Styela clava: one gene and its partner. The protein of the gene in region 2 purifies or fractionates together with the protein of the main gene of each other region. This does not show direct contact. Links are inferred from orthologs where the notes say so. Each region holds a gene or a part of one and is shown on either strand. Other genes may lie near its edges.

Evidence for each region. Proteins that work in one complex are often made in the same cells at the same time.
Region 1: the proteins of replication protein A 32 kDa subunit-A-like (region 2) and zinc finger-containing ubiquitin peptidase 1-like purify together in Homo sapiens (affinity purification with western blotting; 3 studies listed by BioGRID, with this or other methods). This does not show direct contact. The link is inferred for Styela clava from reciprocal best matches to the Homo sapiens genes RPA2 and ZUP1.

What each region holds. Positions count from the first base shown.
Region 1 is NC_135251.1:18,600,327-18,607,754, reverse strand, and holds the start of zinc finger-containing ubiquitin peptidase 1-like, read right to left. Parts: upstream 3,088-7,428; 5' UTR 1,964-3,087; coding exon 1,735-1,963; intron 1,185-1,734; coding exon 966-1,184; intron 419-965; coding exon 229-418; intron 1-228. UniProt on the Homo sapiens protein: Deubiquitinase with endodeubiquitinase activity that specifically interacts with and cleaves 'Lys-63'-linked long polyubiquitin chains. Shows only weak activity against 'Lys-11' and 'Lys-48'-linked chains.
Region 2 is NC_135250.1:25,184,219-25,192,196, reverse strand, and holds the start of replication protein A 32 kDa subunit-A-like, read right to left. Parts: upstream 3,026-7,978; 5' UTR 2,856-3,025; coding exon 2,837-2,855; intron 1,272-2,836; coding exon 1,171-1,271; intron 617-1,170; coding exon 515-616; intron 1-514. Other genes in the region: uncharacterized protein LOC120335106, read left to right, coding at 7,254-7,320, 7,868-7,978. UniProt on the Homo sapiens protein: As part of the heterotrimeric replication protein A complex (RPA/RP-A), binds and stabilizes single-stranded DNA intermediates that form during DNA replication or upon DNA stress.

The DNA.
Region 1 (7,428 bases), on a different chromosome or scaffold from region 2:
TATCTCACAAGGAAATGAAAGAAGCACTCAATACCAGAAATCCTAACACATTACAACAACATTTGAATTAATGAAAGCAATACTCCTGAATATTGGTATTTAACCTCATCATACGATTTTGAGCGAGCTAAATCATTTACTTTTAAAGCAAAATTATATTTGACAGGAGTTTATAGTTTTGATCAAACAGTAAACATATACACTCATGATTCTCATGACCATATCTACCTGTAATAATCAAAACATGATGATGATGCTCTTCCAACTTGTTTATCCATATTTTTAAACGCTTGATTCCGGAAACCAGTCCTTTGGTGTTCTTTGCCCATTCCATATTTACTCCTTAATTCTTCAAAATATAAGTTTTCCGCAACGTCTCGACTGGCTTGTAGTTCGAATCTTTCTTGCTCTTGTAACTCTAGAATGGAGATATATTATTAGAGTATCAAAGTGTAGAAGTGGTGTTACAATGAGGTTTATTTTGATAGCACAAAACAAAAATGTAGATCGGAGTAAACTCATTTGGAGTAAGCCCATTTGAGCAAGAGTGATGACAGTCGCTATACTATTGATCTTATTTAAATGAGTTTTTGTTAAAGTTTGTGTGATTCGGGACTAAATAATTTTTATGAGATGCTTCACACCAGAGAAGAAAAGACATGAACATAGGAATCCATTAGATTAGGAAAAAACATACTTCATAAATTTAACATCTAATACCGCAATCATTGCATCTGAACCTAGGTTGGCCAGGACCCAGACTAGCAAACCAAGCAGTAATAAGAAGTGAAGATACATATAAGAAACTTTGTGAGCCAGAAATAAATTATAGCAGAGAATTTTATCTGTAGACGCATCTTAAAAATTTACTTATTAGTTACTACATAAACAACTTTTCAAATAGGCGAGATAACTTTGATACATTGAATTCTTTGCAATATAGTAACTTAATATACAAATCATACTTATAGCCAACAGCTCATCTTGTGTGTAATCAGATTTTACTGACATATGTCCCTGTTCATTGTCAATAAAATGAGACTCTGTATGAAAAGTTAGTTTGTCAACATTGTCAAATCCAGTTAATTGACAAACAGGACAACTTAATACTTCTGATTGAGATGAATCAACATTGTTACTACATTCTCCATTAACCTCACTCCCTGATGATGCTCCACACTCATCTGCAACAGATAGGATTTTGTAACACTATACTATATTTAAGCTTTAATTATCTAATATCCTGACTAAGGGGCTTTCAGTAATTATTGATAGGCCTATGAATGATTACGCCAGTGTTTTTCGAGCTTTTATGATCTGTGGCCGCCATTCAATGTATCTTTAACACTTGTGGCCCCCTGATCTTTTCAAAAAAGACATATTTTTGCTTCTTATGCGTTTCTGTTAGTTAGTTTATGCAACACATTCAATAATGAAAGGCCAACTAAAGTAAGAAAAATCCTATTACAATCAACAATTTAGGCAAATCTCTGTCAATTTACTGTGAATAAATGTAGTCACTGCTAATAGTACCTTTAGTCATGTCCTCCAGAAAACCAATTCATGGATCACTAGGGGAGGCTTAGGACCCAGTTTGAGAAACTTCATACTCTGTTTAGGTAACTTAACCAGAATTTACATTTGATATTCAAAGAGTATGTTAATAAATAAATCAAACTAATGATCAGACCTTTCGCACCTTCAGATTTTGCTTTAATAAATTAAAGTGGATACCTTTCTTTGGTGTACGCATTTCCTCCTTGTGAACATCCATTACATGGGTTTCCATCTTGTTTTCATCTTTATTGGAAACCACGTATGTACAAAATGGACATTTTGATTTGTCAATATCATTTTCCCTATTGCAAGTTGCATGATCCAATTCAATGTGCTTTGTCATTTCATCTTCAGAAAAATATCTCTGGCCACATATTAAACATGAATCACACCAACTTTCATCCATGATTTTGAACAGAAGAGTATTGAGTAAACATTTGGTGGGACAGAACTTATATTCAGTATATTACTAATCAGTAAACTAATCAAGTAATCACTGAATCATAAACACAAAGAATTATTCACCATTGCCGAATGTAGGCTTACTTGTCAATTAAAAAACACATTTGTATATGCACTGCATACAGCACATCATTAAAAACATGATGTTCAGATTCTTAACAATATTATTTTTCAATTTCGAAAACAGTACCAGAATAAGAAACCCTACGCAACATTGTATTTCAATTCCATGTATGAGTGTTCAATTAGCAATGTAAAATAGAATGTGCAACAGAAATTACACACTTAAATATGTAAATACAGAAATCAGGAAATGGCAAATTTTCAAAGTTCACCAACAGCAATACAGATCTAAAGCACTGATGGAAAAGTCCCAAAGGAATCGCTGAAAGTACACTATGACTATAGAATCAATCTTGCTCGAAATGCAAAATTAGCCTTTAGGACAATTTGAAAGCTACAGCATGATAAATACGTCTGTCTACACAGTATATCATATCATAATATAGTGAATTAAAAATACAGTTAATTGGTGGAATTTGTACAAAATGATGCCATAATGACAGTATATATGCAACATCAAACGAATATTTTGAATTAATGGTTTGTTCTGAGAACTTCTGACACTATTTCGTTCATTGGCTTATTGAGGAAGCGTCTTTGACAAATACAGGTGATTCCCCATCATTTTCTGGTACGAAGGAGTGTATGGAGTCACGAGTTGACAATATTAACGTCAAAATCTCTCATCCGGTTACCATTCCACGTCGTGAATGGGATTAGTTAGATAGCAGACTATATTTTTTTCAGATGCATGGAACCGATGGTGGAGAATGCTGTAACCGACAAGCGTTTATGTGACGGCGAGGAATCCAGCGGTTCTTTCACCACAGAGAGTCAGCATTGTCCCACACGATATTCGAACATGCGAACCACGCGGGGTAATCAGTGCGGTGGCAAGCGTGTCCCTAACCTGCTTTTGTTCGGTAATCGAAAAGTTTTGAATAGTTACCCATAAATTACCATACATTTATGCTGCCGACACACACACACACTGTTTTGCTAAATTCCCGTCCTTAATCTTGTTTGTATGTTTACGAGAAAAATCGCCATTTCTTAATTCCTGCTTACTTTCTGTTGCGTAGTGTCCATTGCCTGTTTAGTTTACTATGTGCTCGGCCTTGGTGATTACCGACAACGTTGAATAAATAAAAGAGTTTGATTTGAAAATTCCATAATCAAAAAATGGAGAATTCTGCAAAATGGGCAAAACCTTTATAAACACAAACCTGGTTAATTAAACTGTAGCGAATGTGCATTGTGTAACTATGAATTATAATGTATTTAACCCTTTCATTTTAATAGTGTGTTCCGTTTCCCACAATAGGTCATTTATTGTAGCAACACTGAGTACTGATTACATGTACTGCCTTTCTCGTATCGACCAATTTGATGACGTATCGTCCCGGCTTGCCGAGAGGGCTGCATAATATTGTGTTTGGATTCACTTCTGTTTTTACTGCGTTAGGTGTGATGTGTTTTGATCCACTTCTGTTTTTACTTCGTTAGGTGTGATGTGTTTTGATCCACTTCTGTTTTACTGCGTTAGGTGTGATGTGTTTGGATTCACTTCTGTTTTATTGCGTTACGTGTGATGTGTTCTGATTCACTTCTGTTTTATTGCGTTAAGTGTGATGTGTTTTGATTCACTCCTGATTTACTGTGTTAAGAGTTAAGTGTGTCTCAATTTTATCTGTTTCGGAATTTGGATTGTGCATCTTCCTATAATATACAACAACGATTAGCATCAACACTGTGCGCTTATTATCGTCTGAAGGAGTCCAGATTGGAGTCATATTCCATAACGCGTGTCAAAACAATAACGCGGGAATCGAACTTAAATATATAGGGTGATAGTCAATATCCCCAAAATCCATCTCATCTCTTTCTCCCTATAAAACCAGGCTTGGGTAAGAAAAATACACAAATGTATTGAACTTTCGGGCTGTTATACTTTTAAAACACTTAAGTTGATAATGACCAATTCAATCTGATATTGCCTTACTTTAATTGTCCTGGAAGGATTAAAAAAAACGGAAATTCCCATTCCCTTTTGAAACATTCTCCGCGATTACGCGGATTATTATTGTATTTAGTTTTGATACTTATTTTTGCGAATTCTTTATCGCCGTTAAAAAAATCTCAAGATCTGTGAGAAAATCCCATAGAGTACAATTAAATACATATAAAGTATATCAGTATATCAAAAATACATATTCATCGCCTCGAAATCCCCGCGGAACGACTTTTTCGACGGATAATTATGATTTTTCTGTTGTGCAAAGTAATCAATCCATAACCGACAGGGACATTGCCTTCAATTTAACCTGCGATTGCGTCGACAAAATGGAAGTATGATTACTCTAAAATACCACGGCAATCCGCGGACATGAAAATGTGTGGTAAACTGCCCGGTTATATATATCTAGTTTTGAATTTTGATAAATATTATTATACTCAGATTATTTTAAAAATAAAACCGTTAGAAAAATCTCTAAGTCTTCTATAAAATCTCATGGAGTAAAATTTATTTTAGTACAATAAAAATTGATTGAATATACTTTAATTAATTATCTTATAATAATATATATCATCACAACTTGGGAAAATATCAAAAAGAAGAAAGAGGTTCGAGTCTTAATACCAAAGTAAACAATGACAGCAAGAATATCTTTTAAAAAAAATTGTGTGTCTGCATGTATGAATAATTGTCCATTCCTCACTTGTAATAGCAATGGACTTTACGGAATTACTTTACTCAAAATTTGGCATTGGAAAACTAAATAATCACATAAAATCTGGAATGTATGAAGATATAATTAAAATAGAACACTTATTCATATTTGTTGATTTTTAATATTCTCGACAATTAACTTAGATTTCCAAGTTGTAAGTGAAGTTTTTTGAAAACATTGCATGAAATGTAGTAAACACAGAACATAATAAAAAATAACTGTTTGTTTATATAAGTATAAAGTATTGAACTACAGCATATCACATCTATGAAACCCCAGTGTTTCTATATTCAAAATATATGTGATATATATTAGTGAATTAATCGTTTGCAACGATATATATGACTAGTTCAGTCTGCGTCATCTATATCTGTTCATAGAAGCATAAATGATGCAATAAATCCCTCATATTTATTTTTAATGTTTTAAGACTATTTGGCAGGCTGCTAAAATATCCTAATCCATCAAATTTATAATGGTTGTCAATGTCAATGGAACTGGCACAAATTCCTGACTTGTGACGCTATGGTCGGAAGACTTCCATTTGTTTCTGAATTCATGTGAGTTAAGTTTTAAAGCTTGAGTTAAAAACATGTTTCCATCTGTAAAACTTTCAGACATTGGAGAGAGAGAGAGGGGACCAATTCCATCATCAACTGTAGTTGACGTACAACAATCTGTAAAGATCAAATCCTCGGTAAGTTCAGATCCTCTGGTTGGTGTAGCAGCTTCTTTAATAGTTTCATATCTATAGCAACTGATACATAACAAAGGCAGAGTGTGTATTTGCATTAAAAAAAATTGTATAATCTTCGATTTGATAACAAGGGAGCTATGCTCAAATACGTGAACACTGAATGTAGAACTAAATATTTTATCACCAATTCCCCAAAAATCATATGCGGTAACTGTATCAGGGTAACGGTACAGGGACTGTCATAGCTTTTCCAGATCCTGTGACGATGATCCATTCTCCATGATTCAGTTTCAACGTGAATTGAAATAGGCGCTGATCCGAGTCATTTCGTGTTACCAGATCAGGTACCGCAGTACACAGTTCGCGATAAAAAAACCTCCCACTTTAGAGGTCCTAAGATTGCCCCGATATTCGGATATATGAAACAAGAACAACAAGATGATGGAATGATAAAAAAAAAGATCCATATAACCACTTGACGAGAGGCACAACATTTTTTTTTTGCGAAGCGATTAGGGGTGTGAGTACGTTGTTGAAAATTGAGTAATTTTCCAATAAAAGTTAAGCTCTTTGATGTAGTTATTTGACAGTGGTGTCTATGTCTAGGAGCATTGCTCTCTTGTTTTTATCCATCTCAGTTAATGATTGGTGCTGTAACCTGAATTCGATCGTTAAAATAAAATAAAGCGTAAACATATGAACATGCCCTTTATTGGTTTTGTACACGGACTGACCTAAACCCAACAAAACGTTGAACAAACACTGTTTTATACCAATTTTCATTATTTGTTATATATTTACGTTCGAGTTGCTATTTGCAATGTGTGTCATTTTAACGACAAATGTTCAGAATAGTTCCCATAAATGCACAGTAATACGAGATGTATTCAAAACTGGTGGATATATATATATATGAATATAGATACAAATGAGTCATATAGGGAAATGTAGAATAGTAGCATCATGCGACATATAATGAAAATATGATTTGAAGCATAGAACTGTTTTACAATTTCGTTAAAATCAATAAACTTTAGTTCAGGTAGATATAAAACCCACGTGCTAGTTCAAGGTGTCCATATCGAAATAGTTTGATAATCTAGAATTTTCATAAGGTCAATTTCGCAAAACACTATGTCCGTTTGTGTAACGGTTAATAAAAATAATGATTTCGTGATGATGATAAAGTCATTAAACATAAAATAAATACCCTTCGTGGTTTTATACAAAATGAAATTCTCAGTTTGCAACGAATTATTCCATAAAATGATGTCTATAATGATTGATAAAACAGCTAGAAAAACGAACTAAAACATGGTAAATTTTATTGCATTATTATTGCAATTTCCGGCATTATTATCAAGACATACCAACAGTGAAGAACAGATAGTTTGGAGTTGACAGACTGAAATCTACGAGTAAATATGGAGGTACAGGGCACAGAATGTTAGAATCGACTCTTCGTTCCACATACGAATATGCATTGTTGTGAGATACTTTACGTTGAATCTGGTACAATAACACTGATCAATGTGCGCAAATTTGCAGAATTCATAATGTAAAACGACTTGATCTGGTGTTTTATCAGACGATCATTAATAGATTTCACTTTGGGAACTTATTTTCTACACTTTATTCGAAGTAAAAAGACAGACATTCATGCGCATATATGTTAACAAATATTAAAACAGAGCATTATCATACTGTACAGAGCTAACATACTATTTGATACAGCGGTGACAGTTATGCATAGACAAACATTTACAATAATAACTTGACAGACATTATACAGAACATAATATGGCCCAAGCATGAAATGGGATATCGAAGTATAATATTTCATTTAATATGACGGTTCATACTGAGCACGCGGAAGAGGAAATGGCAAAATATGCCAACAAAGAAGCACCACAAAAG
Region 2 (7,978 bases):
ATATTCATTAATGCACAACGAAAAATATTACAAGACCAAATACAACATAAGCATGCTTGAAAAGACAAGTTATACTCAGAAATGTGGAGTAAATTACAACATTACAGCAAAAGATGGAATGGCATAATTGAATATTTTCTATCTTGAATGAATTTTAATCAAGTATTTCGAAGTCAGCAGTAATGTAACCTAAGGTAATGTAATTTGTCAGAAGTTTACAAAAATATATTTGGAACTGGAAGTCCACGGAAAGTAATTTCTATTCTAGAGCAGTGGCTCTCAAACTTTTTAAACCGTGCCACCTTTTTGAAATTTGTCAAGTCTTGCGCCCCCCCCCCCTCCCCCTACCAACAATAAATAGCTAACAATAAACTACATATACATATTACTTTTACTGTCTATGCTGCCCTTGTGGGGCGCGCCCCACTGTTTGCAAAACACTGTTCTAGGAGACTAGTATTTGAGTACAGATTTCTCTATATTATTCTTGTTTTTCAAGTTCACTAATACATACCTGGCCAACTTCCAAATCTTCCAGGAAGAATCCGTTCCCATCATGTGTGAGAGAAGCTATATCTGATGTTGATAATGGAACTATATTTTGTGAACGAAATTTCTGAAATAAAGTTGATAATAATATGAAGCGAAGGCAATAAGAAAAAGGTTTCTTGATGGTACACTAAATTGATTTTTTGGAATGATCTTTGAGAATAAACTATTGAAGAAAAAAATCATTTCAGAAAGTCATAATCTAGAATAATAAATCCTTTGCAATCCAGGGATGATTATCTGTTTGCCAAACAATCTTTAGCAATTCTTCAGAATGTAGAAAAATCAATTTATCAAATCCAGTCAATTTTTAAAATGATTCTCGAGAAAAAAGATGAATGTTGAAAAATAAAATTTCAGTTTAAAAACCAGGATTCAGATTAATAATAACTTCTGTTAATTCTCAACAGTTACTTGAAAATATCAAAATATCATGTGGATATTTTAAAATGATCTAGAATAAATATTGGTTCCAAAACATTTTACAAAATCAGCACTCTAAATAATAATTTATTCGCAATCACAAAATGTTCATCCATTTCAGCACGTTTGCAAGAAAATCATTAACAAATCTTGACAACACAACTTCAAAATCAAAACATTTGTCATGATTGCTCTTACCTTGGTTTTATCTCCTCCAGCTGATGGTGATGAGAATCCACCTTGCTGAAATCCTCCTCCTCCCATTCCATCACCGTATCCCCCTCCACCTCCGCCGAATCCTGAAAACATAAAATTTGAGGAAATTAAATTATGACATATTTATCCTGCTTTGCTAATTTTAGATGGTAACCTTATTAATAATGGCAACATCATTACCACCCAATCACTTATCAAAAATTTAAATTTTCATTCTATGTATATTAAGTTGTATGGGTTTCTTGTTTGACAGTTTGAAGAACAAGTAAATTACAGCATTATCTCTCTGTGCAGCTGTGCACCAGTCTGTATTCCATAGATTTTTTTTCACTAGAAATGGAGCATGCAATTAGAAATTCTCAAATCAGATTTCCTGGCGTGCGGTTAGAGATCGCTGCATGCAAAACGACTGAGCCCGCGTGCAACTGATTATTACTTAAGATACTCTTCTTAAAATTCGTGTAAAATTATTGGATTAAAAATACGTTGAATCAGTCACAAAACAGTTAACCATTACGGTATCAAATATGTATTTTGAGAATGTTTTTGCAATTTGGTGGTTAAACACTCATTTAAATTTTAATAACGGTTATTTCGTCTGCTTACATGCATTTTTGCGAAGCACTAGCGTACTCGGGCGTGCACCTGACATGAAATCCAGTCCGCTGGTCTGGGATTGGCCAACAAGTCCACTGCCTGACTGTGTAGTCTAGGGTGGCTTACCCACTTTGCGGCCACGACCTATTTGCGACCGTCAACTTCATCGATTAAATTAATGCCGAAAAAATTAACAAACCGCGACGATATTTTTCACGCGTTATCGTCCACTTATTCTTCGTAGCTCTGCGAAATTACACTAAAATGCAGCCACAAACAAAAAAGTTTCGACCGAAAACACAACCGAGGAAAAAAAAACGGACCATTTTTCCATGTCGCCAACTACCCATTGTCCCTTTAAAAAAGCTTAAAAATTCATACAAATATAAGAGATAAAAAGATGAAACTTGGCAGGTAGAGTTGTGTTTCTTTCAACCATCTTTAAAGTTTAGCGTTTCTACATTTAAAGGAGGGGGAATAGGGGGTGCGCATTTCCAATACGTCGATAATCCTAGCCAATGTCGATCGATTTGCGACCACCGTGTTTTTGTCTGTTTGATTGCTGTGATGTGGTGCTTTGTTTATAATTTGAAGAGTTTTGTTCGAAATAACCGTGTTCTTAAAATATATGACGGTCAGAAATGCAATTAGGAGCCCATTTTTTCACGCATGGCTGCGTATGCCCTAGTCTCGGCGCAGCAGAAACGATGTTCAAGGCTTGAAATCCGTGTTCGCACACTGGTCGTTCGGTCGCAAATAAGTCTTCAGAGTGTTGTACTTTGGTGGTTTGTATAGCTTTAACCCCTGGTCGTAGAAAGTTTAGCGTGTAGAGGAAATGCCAATGCACCTACGGTGAAACAAATTAAAGGGGTTAGAAATAATGGTTTTTGTTTTGTAGCGGTTTGAATGAAATCGTCCGCAGACTGGCTACACCACCCTACTACCAGTAAAAATATAGGCTCAGAAATATTAGCCTATGTCAGTATGTTTTCAAATTTTCTTGTCAAAACTCCAAAATCTGAAAATTAGAGAACAAAACGAGGATGCTTACCACCACCCCCTCCAAACATTTCTCTATTTGGTCTTCACTGTCGGGTTGAGCGAACAAGCATGAACAGCTGAACGAACCAAGCAATATACGGTAATCCGGTTATCCAACGGTTTGCTCCTAAAGGTCAGAAACGTTACGGTACGTTACCCCAATTCGTGAATCATCAGACCAACACTTCTCTTTCTAATATTCCCTCCAGGTTTTCGCGGGCTCGCACTCTAGCTCCCTCCCGTGTGAAATATAGTTGGACTTCCCATGTTGGACAAATATCTTTCCAAGATGAATTGACTTAATAGTATATATACTCCATAATATATGACAATGAAGTTAACGTCAAATGCTAAATAAAGTGATGGGTACGGTATTTTCTATCGGTAGATAAAATGGTACGAATAGTTTGCGGTTGTAGGCAGTGGTGGGATTCTGCCGGTTCGCACCGATTCTATTGAACCGTCTCACGAAATTTTATGAGATCAGCGAACCGGTTAGCAACACTGGTTACTGTCAATGCAGAGCCAATGACTCTGGTCAATGTTCTGTTTGTAACAGAACCGGCTGAAAAATATGACTTTTGTGAAGAAACCGGCTGACAAAAAATTTGAATCTCACCACTGGTCGTAGGGTAATGACGACTATGGGGACGTTCTAACATTTTTGGCATTTTAAATATCATTTCCAGGAGTTTTTATGTGGCATTAAATTATTCTAAATAACACGAACGTTGTGTCAAGCGTTAAAAACATGCTGGTCATGAGCTCTTAGACCTCAGGGTACCCTGCTCACTGGTAGATTCCGCACTAGGTCTCGTTTATAACTTGTAAGATCATGTTCTAAAATATAACCAATTTAAAATTTTATATCAGTCAGAAACGGGTAAATTACGGCCCACTTGTGTCTGCTGAAATTACGACTATAATTTTTATGAAAATAAATTTCCGTTGAAATAACGTCATAATGACCCCGATTGTTACATTGTGCTTTATATTACTATGCAAATGTTTGCCTGACTGTTGGATTAACTGTTGTAAATAAAGAGTTTTTTAATCATGGTTTTTCATATTGAGTTCCGAGCCTCCGGCCAAGTCTATTATCTGTAACTGGCCCACTCAGCAAAGTAATTACCCACCCTTGAATAACTACTACAGTTTTTGTTTAATTTTTCATTCAGGTTCATAATTCTCGACCAAAATACATATCGTTCAAAAAATTAAATACGGCCGAATACATGAAGTTATCCTAATTTGAAAAATTCCACCCCTTTAACTTCATTTTGTGAAATGGTAATAAACTATCGATATATAGCTATAGGCTACTAATTTATCCAGGCAACAGCCAATCTGATAATTAATATATTTTTACTATTTCAGAGCTGTTTTTATCGTAGGTCAGTTTATTTTAAAAAAATAGATTTCAAATAAAAATGAGAAAAAATTTACTATTCAATCTACTTAGGTGATTAGCGTACGTATCTTGCGTGTAATTACAATTTCGTATTCATTCCAAGCTATTTAAAAATTTTACAGGGTCGTGGAAGGTCCATTACAACATCTAGATTCTCTACGACGTTGGTGTCATATAGCCTATGTGCCTCACAATGCTTTATTTACCATGGAAGGTAAAATTTTTATTCACTCAAATTGAAACAAAAACTTAAGCTAATAATAAAAGGAAAACACTTGGTCTAACGTCATTCCAATACTTGTATGGGAGTGCATTTTTAGTATGAATTGCATAGAAACACAAACAATAAATTCGAAATTTTGCTATTCTATTGCATGTACATAGAAGCCTATTGACGCACTAGTATGAATGTTAGAAAATTCCAGAAAAGTGTACAACAACCCTTTCAATGATATGTTTAAAAACAAAATTGAAAATTTGTCTGCAATAGTTAGGACTTGGTTTTAAAATAAGCAGATACGTACGTGTTTATAGCAAAATATAGGTTATTTCCGGTAGTGGGATTCAATTTTTTTTGTTAGGCGGTTCCATCACAAAAGTCATATTTTTCAACGGGTTCTGTTACAAAAAGTCATGGACAGTAGCCAGTAATGCTGACCGGTTCGCTGATCTCATACAGTTGGGACGGTTCTATAGAACGAGTGCGAACCGGCTGAATCCCACCACTGGTTATTTCCATTTTCAACTAACGGGAATGCTTGGTTTTAATTTTTTTTTCACACTACGTCATCAAACAACAAACGTCTTGTTAAACCTACCCAGTAAAATGTGAGAATGAATATACGACGAGAATGAATGAAATTTTGTAAAAAAAAAAAAATATATAAGATGTCAAACACACATCATAAACTGAATATTACAGACATATAGCATGTGGTTGAAATCAGGCTTTTTACGATTGAACTTGTAGATTTTTAGCATTATATAATCATGCACTCACGAAATATATATATATACAGAAGGTTTTGAAGCAACAGTATTGAATATTCTATTATTATATATACTTTATGAACATTTCATAATCCTAGATTGAAGTTTAAAGCAAGGATAACGTCGGATTTTCAATATAGAACCTAGACTTCAGGATTGTTTGAAAAAGCTATCCAAACGAAAGAAGCCCTACATGGGAACGACAGTCTATGCTATTTTGTTATACTTTCGTGAAAGAAAAAATATGAAAGTATCACAATAATACTGAACCCAATGAATTTCAATATAAGCTATTATCCGTATTCACAAGACTGAGTTGAACTTATTCAAAAATAAATTTGCAATATATATATTTGATTTTTTAATAACGCATTGAAATACAAGTAGGAGAATATCAAAACAGAAATACCTCTAGTAGTCACAGGTACCTTAGTTTGCGGCACTATATAAATTCCCACTACTTTATTTCCATCGCCCCCAACACCTGGGAACGTTGGGTGAGGGACCCAGGCCAAGAAACGAAATAGCGAAAAGAAATGAAGAAATATAGGGGTTTTAGTTGCATAAAATGAGTAATTAATTTAAACTATTAATTCTTATTAATGAATCTCAAATATTTCAATGCACATTCGGACCTTTACAACATCAGAGTATTTTTAATATTGGTGCGCATTGTGAAATAGAATGTATTTGATTAGGGCTTAGGCAAACGAATTCACTTTAAATTGAGCAAGCAGCTTCACATAAACGACAGAATTGCCAGATTTTTGTTTATTGTATATACCAGATTGTGTAAGCCGAGAATCGTCAAGGCCGGACATGAGTAAGCTGCGGCAATATTACGCTGTTTACTGTTTTGATGATGCCTCATATTTCAGTTCATTGTGAAGAGAATGAAATTCCCCCGACCGAATCCTAGCAGACGCATTTGAAAGACGAAAACGTAGGCGTTACGGATACAATATTTTACGCAATTTCCAGAGGTGGGTTTCGAAACGTAAATAACATTTTTTGAATAGTTTTTATTCTTACTATACACAGTTCAACAGGAGCATTATATGACGGAGTAGGCCATTTCGTTCTTTCGGTAGTCGTTGGAATCTATATAAAAACAGTAGTGGTACACATAATAAATTTGGTAACTACTTGTTTCTACCGCGCAAAGTCAGAGTTTCGAGGTGTATTTGTATATAAATGATTTTATCAGAAGATTTTTCTTTTCTATTTATTATCTTGTCTTAAGAAAGATTGCAATATCATCACATTTAGTTTTGTTTAGTTTAATCCACACGATATTATATGTTCATTCTATGTCTGAAGTGTGAAATGTCTGATAACTTAATTGTACTTTAGCAACTGTTCGCAAATTTGCATATATATATGTTTGCTCTTGACCAAGTCTTTGGATTCTGATCTCAGATAAATTTCAATAGACGGTTTAAAATAAATAACAAATAACAATATTAAAATATTCTGAAATCCATATCATGTGTTTTAAAAATACCATTGAGTATGTTAGCCTTCTAGGATGTAAGGAATAAGTTTTAGACTCAAATGTGCGATTAGATGAAAGCCGATTGATAAAATGCTAAACTGTTTATTAGCGTATTATCGGCTGGCTTACATAATTCAACTCTATTGAAATGAAAATCCAGAACTTTTGTGCTCAGGCGAATGGCCAAAAAAGGACAGTCCTACCGAAAGAAAATAGTGAGGTATTAGGGATGGTATTACCAGTGAAAGAACTTTCGTTAACACTCTAAATTGTCCGGTTATTCGGGTAAACGATAGTCGGAGCGACGGCAAAAACAATGCTGAACGAAATTGTCCTTTTTGGGGGGGTTGCCTGGCCTTTCATTAGTGTTATGTTAAATTAAAGACTTCAGACCATAAACAACGATGAGTGTATCTAAAACAGTTGTACAATAAAAACGTTAAAAATGTTTATTTCTGAAAATTTTTATTTCAAATTCAGATGTAGTCAGAGCATGTAATATATTTACAGGTTGACTGAGCTATATTGAAAATGAATTTCATAGGAATGTTACCCGTTATTATCGCAACAATTTCAGCCACACTATGTTCCGCAGAAGGTGAGAAATTATTTAATTTTTAAAATCAATTGTGATGCTTATATAGAGGAGGGCAATGCACAAATATACGTATAACGAAATCGCTGGTTAAACTCATCGAAGTCTGTGGGTAGGGAATTTTGCACGATGGCGTAAATTTTCTCCATACAGCAAAGTTTAGAACAGCTGTCCCCGAAAAAACAACACAGAAAAAACTTTCTAGAGGTCTGTTTATTGATATATTTTGTCGCTTGATGATTTATAACGATAGAACAATGCTCAAATATATGGGCTTGAAGATATCTATCAGTGTTTTCATAAATTAAGTTATATATAACAGCAAAAGCATGGGTTAATTCCTCTGAAAATAAAAAAATGAAAAATTAAGTCTTCCCACATCATTCATACAGTCATACAGTTATGCATTTTAAATCAATTTTTCACAACAACAACAAGGACAACGCCAACAACAGCAACAATTCAGCACAAAGATAATCATATTTTGTCCCTTGCCCAATATTCTATGACAAAATGAAACTGAAAATTAAAAGTAATTATTTTGATTTAGAACCGTGGCGGACAAGATGTGTCGGCGATTTTGAGTTGAAATTCTTCAAACATAACGACAATACGACACTTCAAAAAACTTACCACAAAGCAAAAGTCTTTTGCGAATCAT